2 linked regions of the Notamacropus eugenii genome follow. The protein of the gene in region 2 interacts with the protein of the main gene of each other region in a biochemical or structural test. Links are inferred from orthologs where the notes say so. Each region holds a gene or a part of one and is shown on either strand. Other genes may lie near its edges. The genes, in order: ACTR1A and SPTBN2.

Region 1 (10,242 bases), on a different chromosome or scaffold from region 2:
CTAGAGTCTGCTGCCAGCAATGGCTACATGGAACAGTTATTTCAGTGCTGAGATGCAGCTTCTAATGTGGGAAGAGAAACCACAAGTTCCTCAGCAGGCACCAGAAGCACACAGTACCCAGACTGCCAAAGGACTGGGATTGGAAGAAACTGACCACAGGCACCACTTAATGCTGTAGCTGTCCATCCCTGAGCATTCTTCCTCCTTCTTAGAGGCAACTGGGATCCAAGACAGCAGGAGTCTGGATAGGCAAGGCTGGGAATCAATGTCAGCAGAAGAATTCAAAGGATACAGTCCTACACTTAATCCCCAGGAACAAGAAGATTTTAACTGCCTTTGGCTGTTTCTTCATATATCCATTTCCAATTTTTTCGAGACCCTCACAGTGCCTTGGATAATATGAGACTTGTGCAAGGCACTTAGTACATACTCAACTGATTGACATAACACTTCTTAAAATAATCTCTTCTTTATCCAGTCCTTAAAGATGTTGTTCTGGTACAAACCAAGACTTTGAATGTAAAGTTCTAGGTGAGGGAATGATTTGGATTGGTTTCATTTCCTAGTCCATTTTAGGGTTTCTAAGAGATTCTAGAATCACCAAGTCATTAAGATTTCGAGAGTGAAATAACTACTTTCTTAATGATGAAAATCTGAAAAGTTGAGGTTGTTTCTTTGACTCTATCTCATCTAAAGCAGAAAGTCACAGATTTAGAGCTGAGATAGAATGGAGCAGTCAGCTAGTTGAAAGCCTTCGTTTTACAGATAAAGATACTGAAGAGTGCAAAAAAGTTAAAAGATTTGCCCAGAGTCACACAGCAAGTGAGAAGCAGGGCTAAGATTCAAACTCAGCTCCTCAGACTAAAGCTGTGTTTGTTCCAGTATACCATGACTGATAAAACAACTTCAAGACTGTTTAGAACTTTGATCTTTTAGAAAGTAAACTGTAACCTTTGAGTTCTTAAGTTCCCAAGGACTTGGGAGAGGAGATGATCATGGATAGGCAATAAGTTCTCTTTTCACCCAAAGAAAACGGAAAAAAGAATTTTATTTTAAATTTTTAAGCAAATTTATTTGCACCAGTGATTCCTGTAGTAGACACTGTTTCCAAAATGTGGTCCACAAGCACACTTGTATACTCAGAGCTTCTCTATTAGGAATCCTAGGATTTTAGAGCTGAAAAAATTTTTAGAGATAATAGTAATACAGTCTATACATTCTACACACTAGAAACTGAGGTCCAGAAAGGAGAAATGACATACAAAAGGATCACAGATCTAGAGTTGGAAGGGAACTCAAAGGCCACATTGTAGTCCAACTTTCTCATTTTACACATGAGAAAACTGAGGACCAAGTAGGTTACATTGCCTTGTTCAAGGTCACATAGGTAGTAAATTTCAGAGGTGAGATTTCAACACAGATCCTTCTTACCACAGATCTAATGCTCTTTCCACAGTACAATAATGACTTGCTCAGAGTCCTACAGAAAGTTGGTGGCAGAACTGAGGCTAAAATCCAAGTCTTTTAACTCTCAAGTCCAGTTTGCTTTCTGCCACACTGTTCTACTTCATTTTAGTATTAATGGTTATGTTTAATAGAAACATGTGACTACAAATACTCATGATACTCACCTCACTGATACTTTCACAACTAATTTCATTTTGTTCTCATTAATTTTATGTAGCTTTCTGTGGTGTCAAGCAGGGGTAATATATGTTAGACAGCAGTGGTACCTAACCCAGAAGAGCTGATGAAATATCTGTTGTTTCTTCTCTTCCTTAATCCCTTCTTCTAACCAGTGCTGAATTCTTAGCTTCCAGGAAGCAGATTTTGGTGTCTTTGGAAAATGCTAAAACTGTGAGACTCATTTCTATCAATAAACACATCTCGTCAAAATAGACACCTGATTCAGTTGTCTAATACGGCTCATTCTACTCTTCATCCTGAAAGCCAAAAATTGCTGCTAATGTCACCAAAAATTAGTTCAGAATTTCAACCACTAAGAATTCATTGAGATCTCAAATCTAAATTTAATGTGGCGTATTTGGTGTCCTAAAGATGAATGACAGCTTTCTCAGATTTCACTTTTAGTAGATGTACTAGAAAGTTTTCCCAGTGAAAAGACAAAAGCTGAGTCTTCTAGTTTCAAAATCCATAATAGTATTGTTACTCTTAAGTACAACTTAATACGTTATTAGGGAAAGGAAGAAGGGTGAACTAAGCCCTGGTGACTTAATTATCATTTATAATAAGAGAAAGAATAATGGAAGAGTTGGAGTTGGGATTACACATTAATCCAAAGAGCAGGGGATCAGGTCAAAACTGATGGGTTTGCCGTTTCTAGACCCTAGCATTGCTTAAGGAAATTAAAAAATTGTTGCCAATTTGCTAAAGGCTGACAATTAGACATTTTACAAAGGGGGCAAAAAGAAGATGAAGATATACCGGTTACTTTTGGAGGAGACCAGCAGACACAAGAATCCAAATCCAAAAATGAGAGATAACCCTACTAGGGCAATTACAGTGTGAAGGCAATCTTCTTTTGCTTTTGGCCCTCTGGGGTCTTGGGCTGCCTTATCACTTTCTTACCATTATCCCCTCCTTTAAGTCAGATCTACGGGAACAGTAAAGCTGGATGACACAAACTTCCTTGGGTCACCCAGACCCAAGGTCACGATCAAAGGGTTAATGAGGTAACGAGCTTCCACGAACCCCAGGGATCACCACACATCTTTGGCCGCTGGTTCCACACAGGGAATATATCCACTACACCCAGAAGTACATCTGGAAGGCTACAGTTTGATCTTCCCCAAAACTAAAGATCCGTTTGGGTTTTCCACAGGAGGAAGGAGTGTTCTGACCCCTTGATACAGTAACACCAGCATTATAATTAGTGACCACAAAAACAACAGAGCCCAAGGAAACTCGCTCACAGCCACCAAGACTCCCCGGGAGCTCCATCCGACCCCACCCAGGGGCTGGGTCCGGCCTTCCCACGTCCCCACCCCGCCCAGGCCCAGGACTGAACAAAATCGGGCCCTTCTCCACCCATGGGCGGAACCCTGTCCCACTGGTCTCACCAACAGGAGTCCTGGGAGCCAATCCTTGACACTCCCTTCTGCCCCGCCCCGCCCCACGGAAAGAGGAAACCCTGCGGCATTCCATCGGATGGACGGGGGAACTAGCCAATCCCTTCAGAGCGCTGCCCCATCCGGCTAGCCAGGGGGCGGAACTAACTAGTTGAGATGGACAGCTACCCGAACCAATAGAGTCACCAGAACTGGAGAAGGGGCTGGGCCCTGGGCGCCGACAGAGCGGTTGAGGCCCCTCAGGCCAAGGGCCCGATGACCCGGGGGGCTAGAGATGGGGTGTTTCTCTCCTCCGACCTCCACCCTAGCGATGCTGGCCTATGGACCGGCCAGGGACTGCTTCTCTCAAGGAGAAGGGGACCGCCAAAGCCTCCTGACAGGCCGAGCCGGTGACAAAGAGTCAGCGGCCAGGGCGGGGGACCCTCGGACTAAGATAGCCGGGCCCTGCTCGGGGAAGAGGAAACCCAGACTCACGTTGTCGATCACGACAGGCTGGTTGGCGATAATATCGTAGGACTCCATGGCAGAGGGGTCTCTCCTCCGGAGGAAGAAACTGCCAGCCGGGTCCGCTGTTGCTGCTGCTGCTGCTGCTGCTGCTACCACCGCTACGCATGCGCAATCTTGTCCCCGGGACAAGGAAGTCGGGAGGGGCTGCTCTTCACCCTCCGGAAGACTACAGTCCCCAATATACTATGCGGTACCCCTCCTACTGGGAAAACATCTCTCAGACTCTTTCAAAATCCAGCGAAGCTTTGCATGATGGGTATTAGACTTTCCTTCGCACAGCTCTTTGGGCTTTGTAGTTTACTTGGAGAAGCGTGAAAGGGACATGAATTGTTTGCCGTTGTTGCATGATGGGATCTGTAGTCCATTCCGTCTTTGATGAGGCGGGTTCGAAATGTATGCTGGGACATGTAGTCTCGCGGGACTGTGTGCCTAAGTACTTGGATACTTGTCTGTGGCCTCTCATAAATAAATACGCTACATACCAGGGACTTTTCACTACGGTGGAATAACTTATTTTTCATTCTTGCTTTATACGTCTTTTCTTTCATTCTTGATACTCGTAGGGTCCATTTCCTTTCCGATTTTTACACGGTTTGATATCTCTATCTTTTGTTTTGCAACGTGTGGGGGTTAGGGGTGGGGTGTAGTAGTACTACAGTTCGCACCATGTCATCTGCAAACCCGAGCGTCTTTTAAAACCTTACGTTTAGACTTTGTGGACATCCTTCCTGACAATGCCGACCAGCTTTGGTAATCCAGCGTGTCCACTGATAGTCATCATCAGAGGTAATCTCTACAGGTGTATTAGGATACAAGGATACAAGGAATCTTGTTTGACTTTTCTAAATGGAGCTGTGCTTTGTCGAAGATCTGTTTGGCTCTAGAAAACCAAATTTTTTTTTTTAAATATTCGACAAACACAAGCGCGGTGGGAGCTTGTATTCTCTGTACCTTTCAGTTAATTGTGTGACTATAAAGATGTGGTCTGTTATAAAACATAATTTTTGAAAACTTGACTGCTCTTTCTCATACCTTTCATCAAGGATATGGTATGTGTTTGTAATTCTCACAGATTTCTGTAAGTATATGGGTTTTCAGTTACTGATTTTTTAAAATAATTACTTTCAGTAGTAAAAAATGCCCATTTTTTCCCTCTCCTCCCTCTGGCATCCTCTCCCTTTTTTAAGGTATCTTGAGAACCAGTCCCTCAGCATCCATAGTCCTGTGTTGCATCAGGACAGACCTCTTCTAGTTATACTTTGTTTAGTCCATCTATATAGGTTGTTGTCATTTGTGATAATTTTTGATAGGCCTTTTAGAATTAGAAGAGCACTGGAATACCTAGTTAAAATCCTTCATTTTACAGATGGTAAAAGAGAGGTTCAATTATTTTCCCAGAATCACACAGCTGTTATTGAATAGCCAGCACTAGTAAAAGCATTTCTGCCTCACTTTCTTGGAACAAATTATTTAACCTCTCCAGGTCTCAGATTCATATGTACAATGAATAAATTGAACTAAATGATATCTGAAGTTCTTTCCACAAGAATTTTTGGTTCTAGTTTCAGGTCTGATCATGCCCCTTCTCTGCTCTAAAATCTTATCTGGCTGTATATGGCTTCAAAGATAAAATACAAACTCCAGGTTACATTTAAGGCCTTCCCTATTGTAAGCTCTCATTTCAGACTCTAACTTCACAAACTAAGTTCTAAATATTTCTAAAGGTGATCCCTTGTCTTCTACCTCCATGTACCCCATCAGTGGTATGCATTTTCTTTTCATCCCTTTTCTCAGTCCTTATTGTCCTTGTCCTTCAAGGTCAGTTCAGCCTCTGCCTCCTTCTTGAAGCCTTTTCTGATTTTCCCCGGTTGTTGATATGCTTACTGTCCTTCTTCAGTGTACCACAAATTAGAATTACTTGTGTACATACTGTATCCTCTCCAGTAAAATGTATGCTTTTTGAGGATGGTGACTATGACTTTTTTGGTTTTTATGTCCCCAGTGCTGAGCATAGTTTTGAGTATAGGTGTTTAATAAATGTCCAATCAAATGCCAATGAACTTTCCTTCAAGGCACCCAGAGTTTCTTGCATCATTTCATTCCTTTTGATAGTCAGAATTATATCCTTAAGTGAAAATGGAAACAAGGACAGGTTAAGCAACAGAGATGCAGACTGTTCTTGGCTTTGCAAGTTACCAAGCCATGCAGCTGTGGAAAAGTCATTTACCCTATCTGAAACTTACTGAGTTTCCATGTCTATAAAATGAGTATGATACTTGTTCTATCTGCCTCACAAGGTTGTTATAGGGAGAGTGTTTTGTAAGTCTTAACAAATTCAATAATATTTATAAAGCCCTTAACAAGAGGTACCTAACAAATGCTTGCTACTTACCTCCCTTTAAAGCATTATACAAATGTGAATTACTATTAGGATACTCATTCTCAATTATTGGTGTTTTTCAGTTAATCATACTTGCCCTTTGGAAACCCCTCCTTTCTATTAATGCCTATGGCTGTCTCATTTTACATTCAAGATTACTTGAGTAAACAATAGCGTGCCTATAAGGTTATTGTGATTTTTAAAAAATCTGTAAAGCTGATATCTTAGAAACTTTTAAGACTCTCCCCACATACAGAGGGCAACGATTATGGGGGCCAGCGGGGATTCCTCAGTAACTTTTCAATGCAGAAGAGAAATAACAGAAGGGAATGTTACCATAATAAAAAAAAATTATTAAATTCCTATCTGCACACAGTACTTGTGGATAACTATTTAGAGGGGGGCTTTACTTCTCCCAAAGCAGGTCTTATTATTATTCTTTGGTTCCTATCTCTGACTATCTGTGGAGAGGAGCCGCAGTTATGGACACTGTCTCAGCCATGCAGATAAGGAATGCTACTGTAACTGAAGGATTTCTGAGAGCGCCCTGGGAGCAGCTAAAAGTCAAGCGCCTTGCCCAGGGTGAGGAGCGTGCCAGGGTCTTTGACACCAGCGCTCGTTCTAGTCCACCGCGCTGCCTTTGGCTTTCATGATGTATCTGTGCGGAGTTTAAAGTCTTCCACCCAACCCACGGAAAAGAACACAGGAAAGTGGCAGCTGGCAGGTAACCTACATCCCCTGGATCTTGTCCACAGACGTCGGTGGGGTAGGTACGGAAACCAAGTCTCAACCGTCTTTAAAAAAGTCAGTACCGCGCAGACGAATGAATGAATGACCCCGTCCGCTGAGGCAGAACCTTCTCGGCACCAAGGGGGAAGGAACAGAACCGCGGTCCTGTCGCTCGTCTCACAGGGATGCCCAGAGCCCCGCACGCACTCAAGTAACACCTCCGGATGGCCAGGGCTAGCCCAGCACTTTCTCCCCTCCACCCTCCCCGGCCGCTGGACGGTGGGGGCGGGCCTATTGTCAGGCCACGCCCTCCAGCCTGTGACTGATATAGATGACGACCAATAATCTCCAGGAGAGCGGGCGCTGGAGCCCCGCCCCAAAGAGCGCCCGGCGGCCCCGCGGCGCCCCACTGGCAGACTCGGCAGCGGCGGCGGCCTGGGTGGACGGGGGTGCCGTGCGCAGGCGCGGAGTCCGGACCTCGCTGCTGCCCTCAGGGCGTCGCACCCACGAACTCTGCTTGCCGTCCCGCCAGTGTGTCCGTCAGTGCCAGCCTCCGCCCCCCGCCCCGGCCCCGGCCCCCGCCGCCCCGATGGCTGAGCTGCGGCCTAGCGGCGCCCCCGGCCCCGCCGCGCCCCCGGCCCCAGCCCCGGCTCCGGCCCCCGGCCCCGCCGCGCCCCCGGCCTTCGCCTCACTCTTTCCCCCGGGGCTACACGCCATCTACGGCGAGTGCCGCCGCCTGTACCCCGAGCAGCCCAACCCGCTGCAGGTCACCGCCATCGTGAAGTACTGGTGAGCCCGGGGGGCGGAGCGGAGGGTTAGCCGAGGGGGGCGGGGGCAGCGCGGCCGGGCGTGGAAGGGTTAAGCCGAAGGGCGGGGGGGAGGGGCCAGCGAGGCGACGCGGGGCTCGGGAGGGAAAGGGTTAACTTTGGAGCCTCCGAGGACCGCGGAGACAAAGGGGTTAACCGGGCTCGAGGACCAAAGAGCTCATGGAAATTTGGGGAGGGGGGGGTGCCTGGGGCTGCGGGGCTGTGGAAGAAAAGGGGTCTTTGGAGCCGGAGGCGGGCCGTGGGGAGCTCGCAGACCCTGGCGGGGAGGCGAGAGGGGGAGCCAGGTTGGGGAAGGACAGGACGTTATTGTCGGACCCAAGCTGGAGGCTGGAGTTGAGAGGGGGTGGCTGCCTGGCTCGGGGGAAAGTTTGCCTGTTTGCGAGTGCTTGGAAGGAGTCCCTCTTAGAGATGGGGGGAAGGGAGGGGGAAAGGAGAAGGGCTATGCCCGGCTGGGAGTGGAGGTTAGAGAAGGGGAGCCAGGGTGAGCTGAAGGACCTGTTAGTAGTGGACAGGTTTTGCGTTTGAAGTCTTTTGATTCTTAAACTCCCCTCCCCTTTAAGTTTTGGAAATTTTCTCTGAAAAGTCGTTCCTTTGACGGCCTCTTTTGCCTTTACAGTCTTCATTTCTTTTGACCTAGAGGAGGAAAACAGATTGAGACCAGGGACAAACATAGGGGACGAGGAATTCACATGAATTTAAAAGGGCTGAAGGTTAGGAAAAGGTTCGTGCATGATCTTTTCAGGCGCAGCTTGGGTTATCTCGCTCAGGAGGACTTGAAAAGAATTCTGTACTGAGAGACCTGGGTTTTTAGCTCTATCTGACACTTGGCTCGTTCTCTTTTCACTGACAGATCACTCAAGCTCCCTGGGCCAAAGTTTGCTCTTTTGCAAGGTCTTCTAGATGAACTCCAAAATCTCTTCCAGCTCCAAATTCTTTGATTTTTTAAAAAATGATTTTTGATTGCCCTAAAGCATTGGGGGTGTTTGGCCATAAGAGAACAGTGGAGTAGAATGTTTGAAGGGCTGTCACATAGCTCTAAAGGCCACAAATATTAGGAGCACTGAGGGGTCGAAGAGTAGAAGTGGATTCATGCTTTATTTAAGGAAAAACTTTCTAACAATTAAGCCTATACAGAAGTGAGAGGAAATTCTGCTGGCTTAAGGTCTTCAAGAGAATATTATAGAGGGGATTCTAGTCAGGTGAGAGTTAGATTGAATGGCCCCTAAAATGCCTTCTGACTCTCATTCTATGATTCTTATGTTAAGCCAACTGGTAACTACCAATAGATTCTGGCAAGGAGACTGTTGTGTTAGCTAGAAAACATATTGTATTGGTACAAAGATTTGTTTCATAAGAATTATTTTATAGCTTATAACTGTCCCTTTAAGGCAGACCCTCACTCAGTTCATGTCCATGGAGTCTTGGGACAGGAAGAAGGGGCAGATCACTGGAAACTGACCTCTTGGGACAGCTGCTGGCCTTGTGGCCCTGGAATCAGTTGCCTGGAAAAAGGGGAAGTTAGGTAAAGTGAGTTTCATTTCAGAATCATTTGTCTTCAATTTTCCCTTTGGGATTGAGCACTTCTCCTCACCAAATACCCTAGCATTTCCCTTTAAAACACCATTGTGCAGGTCAGTGGCTGGTGGACTTCCATGTTAGAGCAAGTGGTCTACAGCCAGGCAGCCTCAAAAGTTGGCTAAGCAGTAGATAATGAGACCTGGCCACTTGTTCTTTTGGAAAGGGAAGTTTTTTCCCTGGTTGTTAAGGCATTGTTCTCATCTCTTTAGGGCTTACAACTTGTTCTTTAGCTGAAGTATAAAAGTACCTTTAAATAATATTACAGTGATTCATATTTCTATAGCTATTTCTGGCTTATATTTTCTTTGCAACAACCCTGTGAGGGTAGTTAGTGAAAATATCATAACTTCTGTTTTACAGGGGAACAAATTGAGGATGAGAGAAATTAGGTGATTTGCCTAAGGTCACCTAGCTAGGAAATATTAGGCAGAATTTGAACCCAGGCCATCTGACTTCAAATCTAACACCTTACTCTTCTCTGAAAAGATCCTTTTGCTGTTCCTCAAACAAGACATTTCATCTCCTGACATTGGGCATTTTTACTGGAATACTCTCTCTCCTCATTTTGTATTCTGAATTCCCTCAGATCTCAGCTAAAGTCCCACCTTCTGCAAGAAGCCTTTACCAGTCCTCCTTAGTTACTAATGCATGACTTCCCTTTGGTACTCTCTCCAGTTTATCCTGGCTATAGCTGGCTTGTGCTTATTTCTCTGCATGTTTTTTCCTCCATTAGAATGTGAGTTGCTTGATAGCAGGGACAGTTTTTTGCCCGTCTTTGTATCCTCAAATATTTATCATGTGCTTGGCATATAGTAGGCACTTAATAAATGCTTATTGACTAACAAACTTTTTTATAGGTATCTATGCTGAGTTTCTTTTAAAGAGGCCTGAGGCTCATATCAGGTCTCTGGTAACTTAATTAAAAATTTAAACTATGCTTTTATATATTAATGCATTGTGATTGATGTGATTAAAGGACTTCATGGGAAACATGAAACTTCGTACTTTAGTTCTTCACCCAATGAGATTTCAGAGTAGGACAGTGTTACAGAGGGAAGAGGGCTGGTTGATTCGTTGGGAAGGGCAAATATTTTTCTTACTCAGCCGATCCAGATGTGTATCAAATGTACAG
Region 2 (9,437 bases):
AGAGAAACTTCAGTATGCTCCTCTGTCTTGCCCTGACCTGCACAAGAAGGCAACCCAGAGCTCTAGGTGCTTGGATATAGAATTTTCCAGGGGCGTGTGTGTGTGTGTGTGTGTGTGTGTGTGTGTGGAGGGGGTCAGGTAAACAGGGTCTAAAACCCTGTGCGGGTTCCCACTAAGGGCAGCCCACCTGATCTCTGGCAGGCTTTCAGACCTAGCCTGTCAGGACAGCAAGTGGGGTTCAGAGCCAACCCCCAGTAGGTCACTGGGCCAAGAAGACAGGAGTGATCAGAGCATGCATGCCTTGGAGGAGATCTGAAATCGGAGTGATCTTTAGCTTCCAATTGGGATCTGTCAAAACAGTAGCAGGGCAGGGGATGAAGCAAGAAGGAGACAAAAAGCCACAGCCAGAACTCATCCTAGGCAATCAGAAGACACAGGTAGAGTCATGGATTGGGGAAGGGGTGGGGCCTAATTTCAACCACCCCCTCCAGACTCGGGGGTGGGGTGGGGGCACAGAACCAAACATGCAAACAGGGCTTGTCTATCCATTCTAACAGTAGGTGAAGGGGTGGATGTTTCTCATGACTAAATAACAGATACCCAAGAGGTAAATCCAAAAGAAGACAAGGCAGGTACCCGTGAGAATAAATAGCTTAGAACAGAAGACAGAACACCTTAACCCTAAGAGAATGAAGCGAACAGAACTCTGTGATTCGATGATACAGCAAGAAATGTTTGGGTCAAAAGATTGAAAAATTGGAAGAATTTGTAAAGTATCTACCATCAAAATCAACTGACCTGGAAAACAGGAAAAACAATTGAAGAATCATCAGACTCCCTGAAAATCATGACTTTAAAAAACCCTGAATGTTTCAAGAAATCACAAAAGAAAACTGCCCAGATCTGTGAGAAGAGGGCAAATTAAAACCAGAACCCACTGGTCACCTCCTAAAAGATTCTCCAAATTGTAAACAACTAGGAATATCATAGTCAAAATCCACAGCTTCCAGGTTTAAAACAAAATACTGGAAACAGCTAGCATTGAGTTCAAGTGCCAAGGAAGTGCAGTCAGGGTTACAAAAGACTAAGATACATGTACTTCAAAGGAGAGAAAATCTTGGAACACGATGTTCTGAAAGAAAAAGGCATGGTGGCAGGAGACAGATATCACATAAAAGGAATGGCCATAGGCCAATGGCCTGGCATGTAGAGAGTATGAAGAAGAGGTTTGTGTAAATGAGCCTGGAATGAGAAGCTGGGGCCAGGATGTAAAGAACATTCAATGCCAAATAGAGGTGTTTGCATTTTGTCCTAGTGGCAACAGGGAGTTAATGAAGCTTCTTGAACGGAAATAAAGCTTTTGGTTGTGTAGCTGTAACCTGAAGGACTCCACCAGAGTCGCTTTACTTTAAGACTGTGCCTAGAGGTTTGGTTGTTTCCCTTTCAGGCTTCATAACCAGATAGATCCATCATGTGAATCCTCCTTCCTGTCAATCTTGTGTCTCCACCCTTTCCTCAGAGTGTTTCAACCTTGCCTGATGTTGAGTTCTGTGTCAATATTTACAGATCAAATGCAGAGGGCACAGCCCTAGGACATATGGTGGATTTGGGGGAGAAAAGGCACTCTTCAGTCTCTCCCCCCTGCCCAGGCTTGGGTAGCCCTCTGCCGACAGATGAAAAAGCAGTCCCTTCACTCAAGCTGCTGCCAAAACAACCTTGCCACTAACCTGTAACCATGGAGAGGGTCAGGTTCTGACAGAGAGTCACCTGTCTCTGTACATGTTGTTGTCTGATATCCTTCCAACTTCTCACACAGCCTGTTCTCATGATTAGTCCTTTCTTTTCCCCAAGCCTCAAGAAAGTCTTCCCCTTACTCCTTTCTGTTTTCTGCCACCCTGACTCTAACTTCTCGTGTTTGGGCAGCCTTAGAGCAATGCTCACTCCTCACGGAGGGACAAATAAGGTCCCAGACTCAGGGTTCCAGGGAGACCCAAGGTTCCCCCCATGGAGCTGAATTTGCAAGGCTCATCCTGACAGAAAGCTTTCTCTGGTTCCCCTTAGTTGCCAGTGTGTACTGCTGCTGCTCTCGCCGTCTTCCTCAGATCATCTTGTCTTTATTTTTCTGGGGACCTCTATCTCTGGTAGACTGTCAGCTCCTTGAGGTCAGGCCCTGTTTTATCTTTGAGCCCTAGACTCTAGCACAATGCCTGCTATGCATTAGACATTTAATAAATGTTTGAACTGAATTGATGGTTTATGCTGGCCTTTTGGAGGCACTATCTGATGAACTAGTGGGGGTGGCAGAAATTCCCATGTTTGTTTTGAGGAGAAAATATTTGTTTGAGTAAAGTCCTGAATAACCCTGGCAGGACCACAGAGATGGTCACACTGTTTACTGATTAGCTTCATAGGCCTGGGATCCTGGAAGAGACCACATAGCCTGATTACTGAGGAGGAGTCCTGTAGCTCTCAAAGAGAGGGTCACATTAAAAAAAAAAAGTTTTTACTTGTCATTGGGGGAAAAAATATTTTTAAAAAAAAACAAAAATGAAAGAAAGGACCACAAATTCCCCACTTTTGTTTTGATGGACTCACAGGTCCATCAGTCTCTGGGAGCTGGGCTTTCTCCAATCCCAAAAGCTTCCTGTAGGCTCTTCTTTCCCCTGCTCTGGACTGCCGTTAAAGCCACTGACTGCTCTGTCCCTCACCTTCTGCCACAAGCTGTGTGCTGTGCCAGCCTAGGCCTCTGTATCTCTTCTCTCACTTCCAAACTCCCTGGTCTTGCCACGGCACTGCCACCTCCACCATCCCAGTCCCACCCTATGCCACCCCATTGGCACCGTTGTCTCAGAAGTGATATCTTGTCTTTATTTCATACTAGCAACTAAGCAAATGAGTCCAGTTTGGTAATGATGATAAAATTCCCATGAACACAGTACTTAAGATTTAAAAATGGAGAGTAGATGAGGAATGAACAGATATGGGAGATACAAATTTAAAGATTAACTGATTAATTATTTATTATAATAATGATTCAGCTGTGGCCGCCAACGTCCTCAGTCCTATCCAGTGGGTGTGATTTTATCATGGAAATGGCATTAAAGAAGAGGCCTGACCACCCACTCAGCTGCTGCCCCCGAGGGCCGTGGCACTTCTCCATATGAGACCTTCTCAGGGGTGTGCTGACTCCCCGTTAGACTGTCGGACTTGTCGCCTCATATCTCCAGTGCTAAGCATCTAGTGAGGGCTTAATAAATGCTTTATTTCTTGCTCATACTCCCCTTGCCCCCTTCTTTCTCTTACCAGATTGGGTCAGCTATGGGCTGGCCTCTGTAGGGGATGGAGTCAGGAAGACCTGGATTCAGATCTTTCCTCTGACAAGTCTCTTCATCTCTCTGAGGCTGTCTCCCGACTTGTGGAAGACAGCCGACTCCCCAGGATTGCTGCAAGGCTCACGTCAGGCGCAGTGTGTGAGTTGTCATCTCTAACTGTCCCCACAGGCCTGTACCTCCGCCATCATGAGCAGTACCCTGCAGTCACCCACAGACTTTGACAGCTTGGAGATCCAAGGCCAGTACAGTGATGTCAACAACCGCTGGGAGCTGCCTGACGTTGACTGGGACAATGAGAGCAGCTCGGCCAGGCTCTTTGAGCGCTCCCGGATCAAGGCTCTGGCAGGTGGGTTTTTGGTTATCTTTCCTCAGAGGGGAGAAGGGGTAGAAAGCTGGAAGCTGACCGTGCCGCTCTAGTGGCGTTTTGGGAAGACAAAGAGCCGACCTCTAAGAGGGTTCTCACAAGAGGCAGTCCCCAGATGCTGCCCACATCCAACCTCTTAGGACGCTGGCGTCCCCAGCTCTATCCCCTTGCATAGACCAAGAAGCCTTGCTGGCGAGCATGGGGAGGACCAAGCCCTCTGCCTAGCTCTGGGGCCTGGCCTTTCTCCCTTTCTTTTTCAGCCCCTGACTGTTTCTACCTTGATTCTGCTAGGTTCCTCACCTCATCTCCCCACCTGATCCATTATCCCTCTGCCTGTCCCTGCTTCACATGCCCTGGGCCTGCCTGCTGCCTCTTCTTTCTGCCTTTTCTCTGATGTACTCTGACTGCCCCTACCCTCCCCTTCAGCCCCTGCCCTCCCCTCCCTCTCCTCCAAACACCCACAGACCTGTCAGACGGGCCCTGCTGCGTTCTTGGGCCAAGTTGTCATGACAATGAGAGCATGCTACCTGACAGTGCCAGACCCCAGCCCCTATACCCCGCCATTTCCTCATCTGACTGGCCCAGTTTCCCAGGCCTTCTACAGGAGACCTTCTCATGGGAGGCTTGAACAGTCAGGGAAAGGGTCAAGTCCAAGGATCACACTGTGGGAATCGCTCCTTGGGGTATCCCTTGGGCCACCCTCCATCCCTGCCCCTCTGCTTATATCTGAGCAGTGCAAAAAGAAAGGTCTGGGAGAAGACCGCATGGATGGGGAAGGCTTTGGTTCTCCCAGGAGGTGGGGGAGCAGGGGGAAGGAAGAAAGAGAGGCTGGCTGTCCCAGGCTCCTTTGCTGTCTGTCTACAGGGGAGTGGCCCAAAGTGTGAGGGCCTCAGGCCAGGGCAGGGCTCTGCCAGGGCAGACAGCTGGGTGGAGCAGGAGCCACAAAGTGGTGTGTGTGCCTATGGGGGGATCCTTCCCCCAAGGCCTCGGGAGGACATTGGTACCCTGGCCGGAATATGGGGGTCTTGGAGTGCTCACAGTTCCCTCCCCTTCCCCATTGTGGAAGCCTCAGGAGCAGAGCTAGCCAGTGACCTGGGAAGGGGGTCCTCAGGGCCACCAAGAGAGGTCCATCTTTCATCTGCCAGCACCAGGCCAGAAAGTGGGAGTCTCAGAACCCTCTCCCACTTCCTCTCATTCGGGGTCTCCTCAGACATCTCAGACTCTCCCAGTGAGGAGCATGGAGGGTGCTCTGAGATCCCTCCTCCCCCGCAGGGCCTGGCCCTGCCCCAGCCCCTTTGCCCCGCCTCCTCCCCTCCCCCGCCGCTGTCCAACCTGTTTGTCTGGAGCGTCCCCTGGCTCTGCCCCTGCCTGCCAGACAGCTCAGCCAGGTGTGCCCCCTTCTGCCTGGCCCTGCGACAGCACAGCAGCAGTGCCAGAGCTTGGCGGCTCGGAAGTCCCCCGAGTCCTCGGGCCCTGCCACCCCCTGCGTCTGGACCCCTGGCTGCCCCATCCCCATAGGGCTGACCGTGAACTTGGGCCCCTGGCTGGGGGAGATGGAATCTGGGCTCTCGACTCTGTAGGAAGCAGCAGACATGAATGGGAACGGGCTCGTGGGGAACGGTTTCAATGGGGCAGGGGAGCCCCACTGTGAGGCCCTGGAGGGGACTCAGCGCCCAGGGAGCCCCCTGCTCTCCCCTGCTGCCTTCGTTAACTCTGCCCAGTATGCCAGCGTATTGGAAGGACGGTTCAAACAGCTTCAAGGTGAGGGTCCCCAGGCAGGAGGGCGTGTGTGTGTGTGTGTGTGTGTGTGTGTGTGTGTGTGTGTGTACAGATCTGGGGGGCAGACCCTGACAGGAGCTGGGCTGGGTCAAAGGGAAGAGGGACTGGGTTAATTGGAAAGAAAAGGAGAGGAAGGGGGAAGCTTTTATTAAGCGCCTGCTGTGTGCCTTACACTATGCTAAGTACTTTACAAATACCATTTCATCTGATTGCAAGGACAGGTGGGGGTTGTCAGTGGGGAAGGACAATAGCTTGGTCCAGTGACTGGTGACAAAAGCGGAGGGCAAGAAAGCACCTTGTATGTATGTGTGGGAGGGAGACTTGGGAGGACTCAAGGCACTGCTGTGGGGAAGCCCGAAGGATGGAGGGCCCACTGAGTGGGCTGGGGTGTGTATGTGTGTAAGGGTGAGGGTGTGTTTCTGTTCTGTATGTAGGTGGCCAAATGTGAGTGAGAAGAAAGGGGGTCATGGAGAATTTAGGGTTGTGTGTGGGTGTGCGGGTGTCTGTCTGTGTGTGTGTCTCTATGTGTCTGTGTGTGTCCATGTGTCTAAAGCAGGGGTGAGGCACATGTCTAGAGGGCCTTCATATCCGATTCACCAGAGGTGGTCTCTGTGAGCCTTGGGCGCAGTCTGACATCTGTGTACTTGGAGTTCTGGGTGTGTCTGTGGGCCTAGGAAGGTTCCCAGTGTATGTAGATTTGCTGGTGAAACAGGGCTTTGGCTCTGCCCCTCCTCCTTCCGGACCCATTGGTTTTGTGTGGCTTTTTCCTCTCCTTTAGTAAACTCACTTGGCCCTGACCCAGAGAGGCGAGGTTGGCTAAGGACAGCTGGGGCTCAGAACAAAAAAGGGAAAATGGGTGCGGGGGGGGGGTGGGGGAAGGCAGGGGTCTCTGTCAGACTTTGGTCAGTGTCTCCTCTCAGGGCTCTAGTTGGCATATGGATGGGGTCAGGAGACAAGGATAGAGATGGATGGGTTTTCATGGCTCTGGGAGCAGAATAAACAGGACCATTGATTTAGAGGGGAAGGGCCCTCAGAGGTCAGCCACTGGTCTAGCCCCACCCTTTTATAGAGAGGGAAACTGAGGCTCAGCAGTGAAGGTCAGAGAGCCAGAAATGACAGGATCCCAGGGCACATGCTACTTCTGAGATCATGGGGACTCGGACTGTGGAGAAGGAAACCAGAATGACCCTTGACCTTTACTCTAGACTCTTAAAGACAAGGAGGGACCCAGGAAATTGAGATCGATCCTAGTGACAGCTTGTGTGTGTGTGTGTGTGTGCGTGTGTATGTGTGTGACCCAGCAGAGATGACACCTTGCCCCCATCCCCTTGGAGGAGGGCTTCCTGGGAAGGAGAGTTTCTGAGGAGCCCCATGTTGCCCCTTGCCATTGGTCATCCCCAGGATGGCCACGTCCCAGGGCCGGAGAATCCTCTCGAAGACCCTGGCTGAGCACGTAGGGGATCCTCTTTGGAACGTCTCTGGGGAAAAATGAGGTTGTGGCTTCTGTGACCCTGTTTGACAACATCCCTAATGACTGGCTGCCCCTTATAATTTAGAGCCTAATAGCCCCCTTTGGTGGGTGCTTTGAGGTTTGCAAAGTACTTTCCCTAGATTATTTCATCTGAGCTTTACGCCAACCCTTGCATCAAGGGGAGAAAGGTGTGATTATCCCCATTTTACAGATAAGGAAACTGAGGCTCAGGAAGAGGAATGACTTGCCCAAGGTTGCACAACTCTTGAAGCTGTCTCAGGGAGATTTGAACCCAGGACTCTGCTGACACCAAGTGCGCCACTTTTCACGCATTGTCCCCCTGCCCTTCACGTATTTACAGACTTACTACATTTCTCTTGGTCTCCCTTTGAATTTCCCCTCCCTGCCAAGAGGCTTTAGCCTCTCTCATGAAGCTTATTTCTCACCCTTTCAGTCATTTCTGTTTCTTGAGATCGATGTTTATTAAGCACCTGCTGTTTGCCAGGCACCACGCATGACAAAAATGGAAGGCTTCTGGTCTGTGGGGTGGGGGTGGGGGATGGGCCGTGGGGGGACACAGTGTATACACAAGCACATGCAAAGTAATTTTGATGGAATGAAGTGATGGACTCCAAAGTCAAGAGTCCTGGGTTCAGATTTGGAGTCTGTACTGACCACTACATGACCGACCTTGGTCAAGTCATTTTACCTGATGACCTTTAAGACTCCATCCACTGCCTGTGCTGTGGTGAACCAGAGTCAGGTGGGCAGTAGGGACCAGGTGAGGTGAGCATTGAGCACTGCATGCTTGTGACGAGTCCGTGGCCCTCTCTGGGCCACAGTTCCTTTATCTGTAGTGATGGGGTTGGGTCTGCCAGCCCAAGGTTCCTTCTGGTTCAACTGCTTCGAATCCTATGAATGAGCTGAGGCTCCCAGGATCTGAGGTCATGGTGGGGGGGAGGCGGGGAGAATGGCCAGTCTCTTGGCACTACTCGCCTCTCTCTTCCATAAGCTCCACGAGCCCAGGCTGGGCTGTCAGGTATCCCTTCTCCTGACTCTCTCTGCTGACTCTAGGATCGTTCCCCTGAGGGATGGCCTGGGAGCAGTGGTTTAGAAGTCGGGAGTCAAGGGTGGGATGGGCCACGCTGACCCCATGTTGGTGCCCTCTAGATGAGCGAGAGGCTGTGCAGAAGAAAACTTTCACCAAATGGGTAAACTCCCATTTGGCAAGAGTCACGTGCCGTGTGGGAGACCTGTACAGCGATCTACGGGATGGACGCAATCTGCTGAGGTTGCTTGAGGTGCTTTCTGGAGAGACGTTGGTGAGTGGTAGGGATGGGGCCCAGGAGTCCCCAGGGGATGGCCCTTGGAGAGAGGGCAGCGCCAGAGAGAAAGTGGACAGCAAGGGACAGGAGGCCCCCAGATGGCAAGGGTGCCCACAAGAACAGCGGCCCCATTGAGCCAAGCTCCTTCCCCACACGGGCCAAAATCTGTTAATTCCCTGGGGAATCTTAATCTGCCGCCAAACCCCACATCAAATCCCAGCTTTGGTCCCAGACATTCCTTTTGCAAATGAATGCCAGGGGGTGGATGGAGAGGGACCGGGTGGGTGCTGTACATGCTCCAGACGAGAGGACTTTGTCCTCCATCCCCCAACCTTCCTGTGCCACTAGCCCAAACCCACCAAAGGGCGCATGCGCATCCACTGCCTGGAGAATGTGGACAAGGCCTTACAGTTCCTGAAGGAGCAGAAGGTGCATTTGGAGAACATGGGCTCCCATGACATTGTGGACGGGAACCACCGCTTGACCCTCGGCTTGGTCTGGACCATCATCTTACGATTCCAGGTACGCAGACAGTCACACTAAGACTCCAGGTGGGCCCAACCTCAGTCTCTTCACTTCCCCCTTCAGCTCTGGGTGTTGGTGATGTCAAACTGGGTGACCTATGGGCCTGACCTTTCCCTCTTCCCCATCACTGTTGATGGCACCGCCAGCCTCCTCCTCAGCCAGTTCAATGCCCTTGGTGTCATCCTCCCTCATCCCATCAGGCACCCCGCCCACCTGTGACACCTGCTCTGTGCTCTCAGGGTCATCACACGCTTCATCCTCCCTCACCCAGACACCTGTAATTGCCTCCTAATTTCTCAGAGTGATATTTCTACAGCACAGGACTGACCAGGGCACTCCTCCACTCAGCAAACACCAATGGCTCCCTATTGTCCCCCCTTGCCTGCCCTGTCGTTCTTAAAGCAGCATACTCTTGGCCTTCAAGCACAGGGTCCTCTCTCTGCTCTCCACCCTGGCCTTCAGGCCTGATACTAGCCTTCCCCACTGCTGGACAGCTCTGCCCTGTCTCCGCCTCGGCCTTGGGGAAGCATTCAAGGCTCCTTCAGAAGCCACCTTTCCTCTAAGTCTCTTGTGCTTTGTTTTTGGTATGAGAGCCTCGGAGGCAGGCAACATAGCAGCCACAACCATGGCTTGCTGATCAA

What was found.
Region 1: the proteins of SPTBN2 (region 2) and ACTR1A form a complex in vitro, tested with the Homo sapiens proteins (2 studies listed by BioGRID). The link is inferred for Notamacropus eugenii from reciprocal best matches to the Homo sapiens genes SPTBN2 and ACTR1A.

Annotation. Positions count from the first base shown.
Region 1 is NC_092872.1:180,688,540-180,698,781, forward strand, and holds the start of ACTR1A (alpha-centractin), read right to left. Parts: upstream 4,603-10,242; 5' UTR 3,612-4,602; coding exon 3,564-3,611; intron 1-3,563. Other genes in the region: SUFU (suppressor of fused homolog), read left to right, coding at 7,295-7,494. UniProt on the Homo sapiens protein: Part of the ACTR1A/ACTB filament around which the dynactin complex is built. The dynactin multiprotein complex activates the molecular motor dynein for ultra-processive transport along microtubules.
Region 2 is NC_092873.1:19,249,357-19,258,793, reverse strand, and holds the start of SPTBN2 (spectrin beta chain, non-erythrocytic 2), read left to right. Parts: upstream 1-5,062; 5' UTR 5,063-5,288; coding exon 5,289-5,457; intron 5,458-8,116; coding exon 8,117-8,268; intron 8,269-8,619; coding exon 8,620-8,793; intron 8,794-9,437. UniProt on the Homo sapiens protein: Probably plays an important role in neuronal membrane skeleton.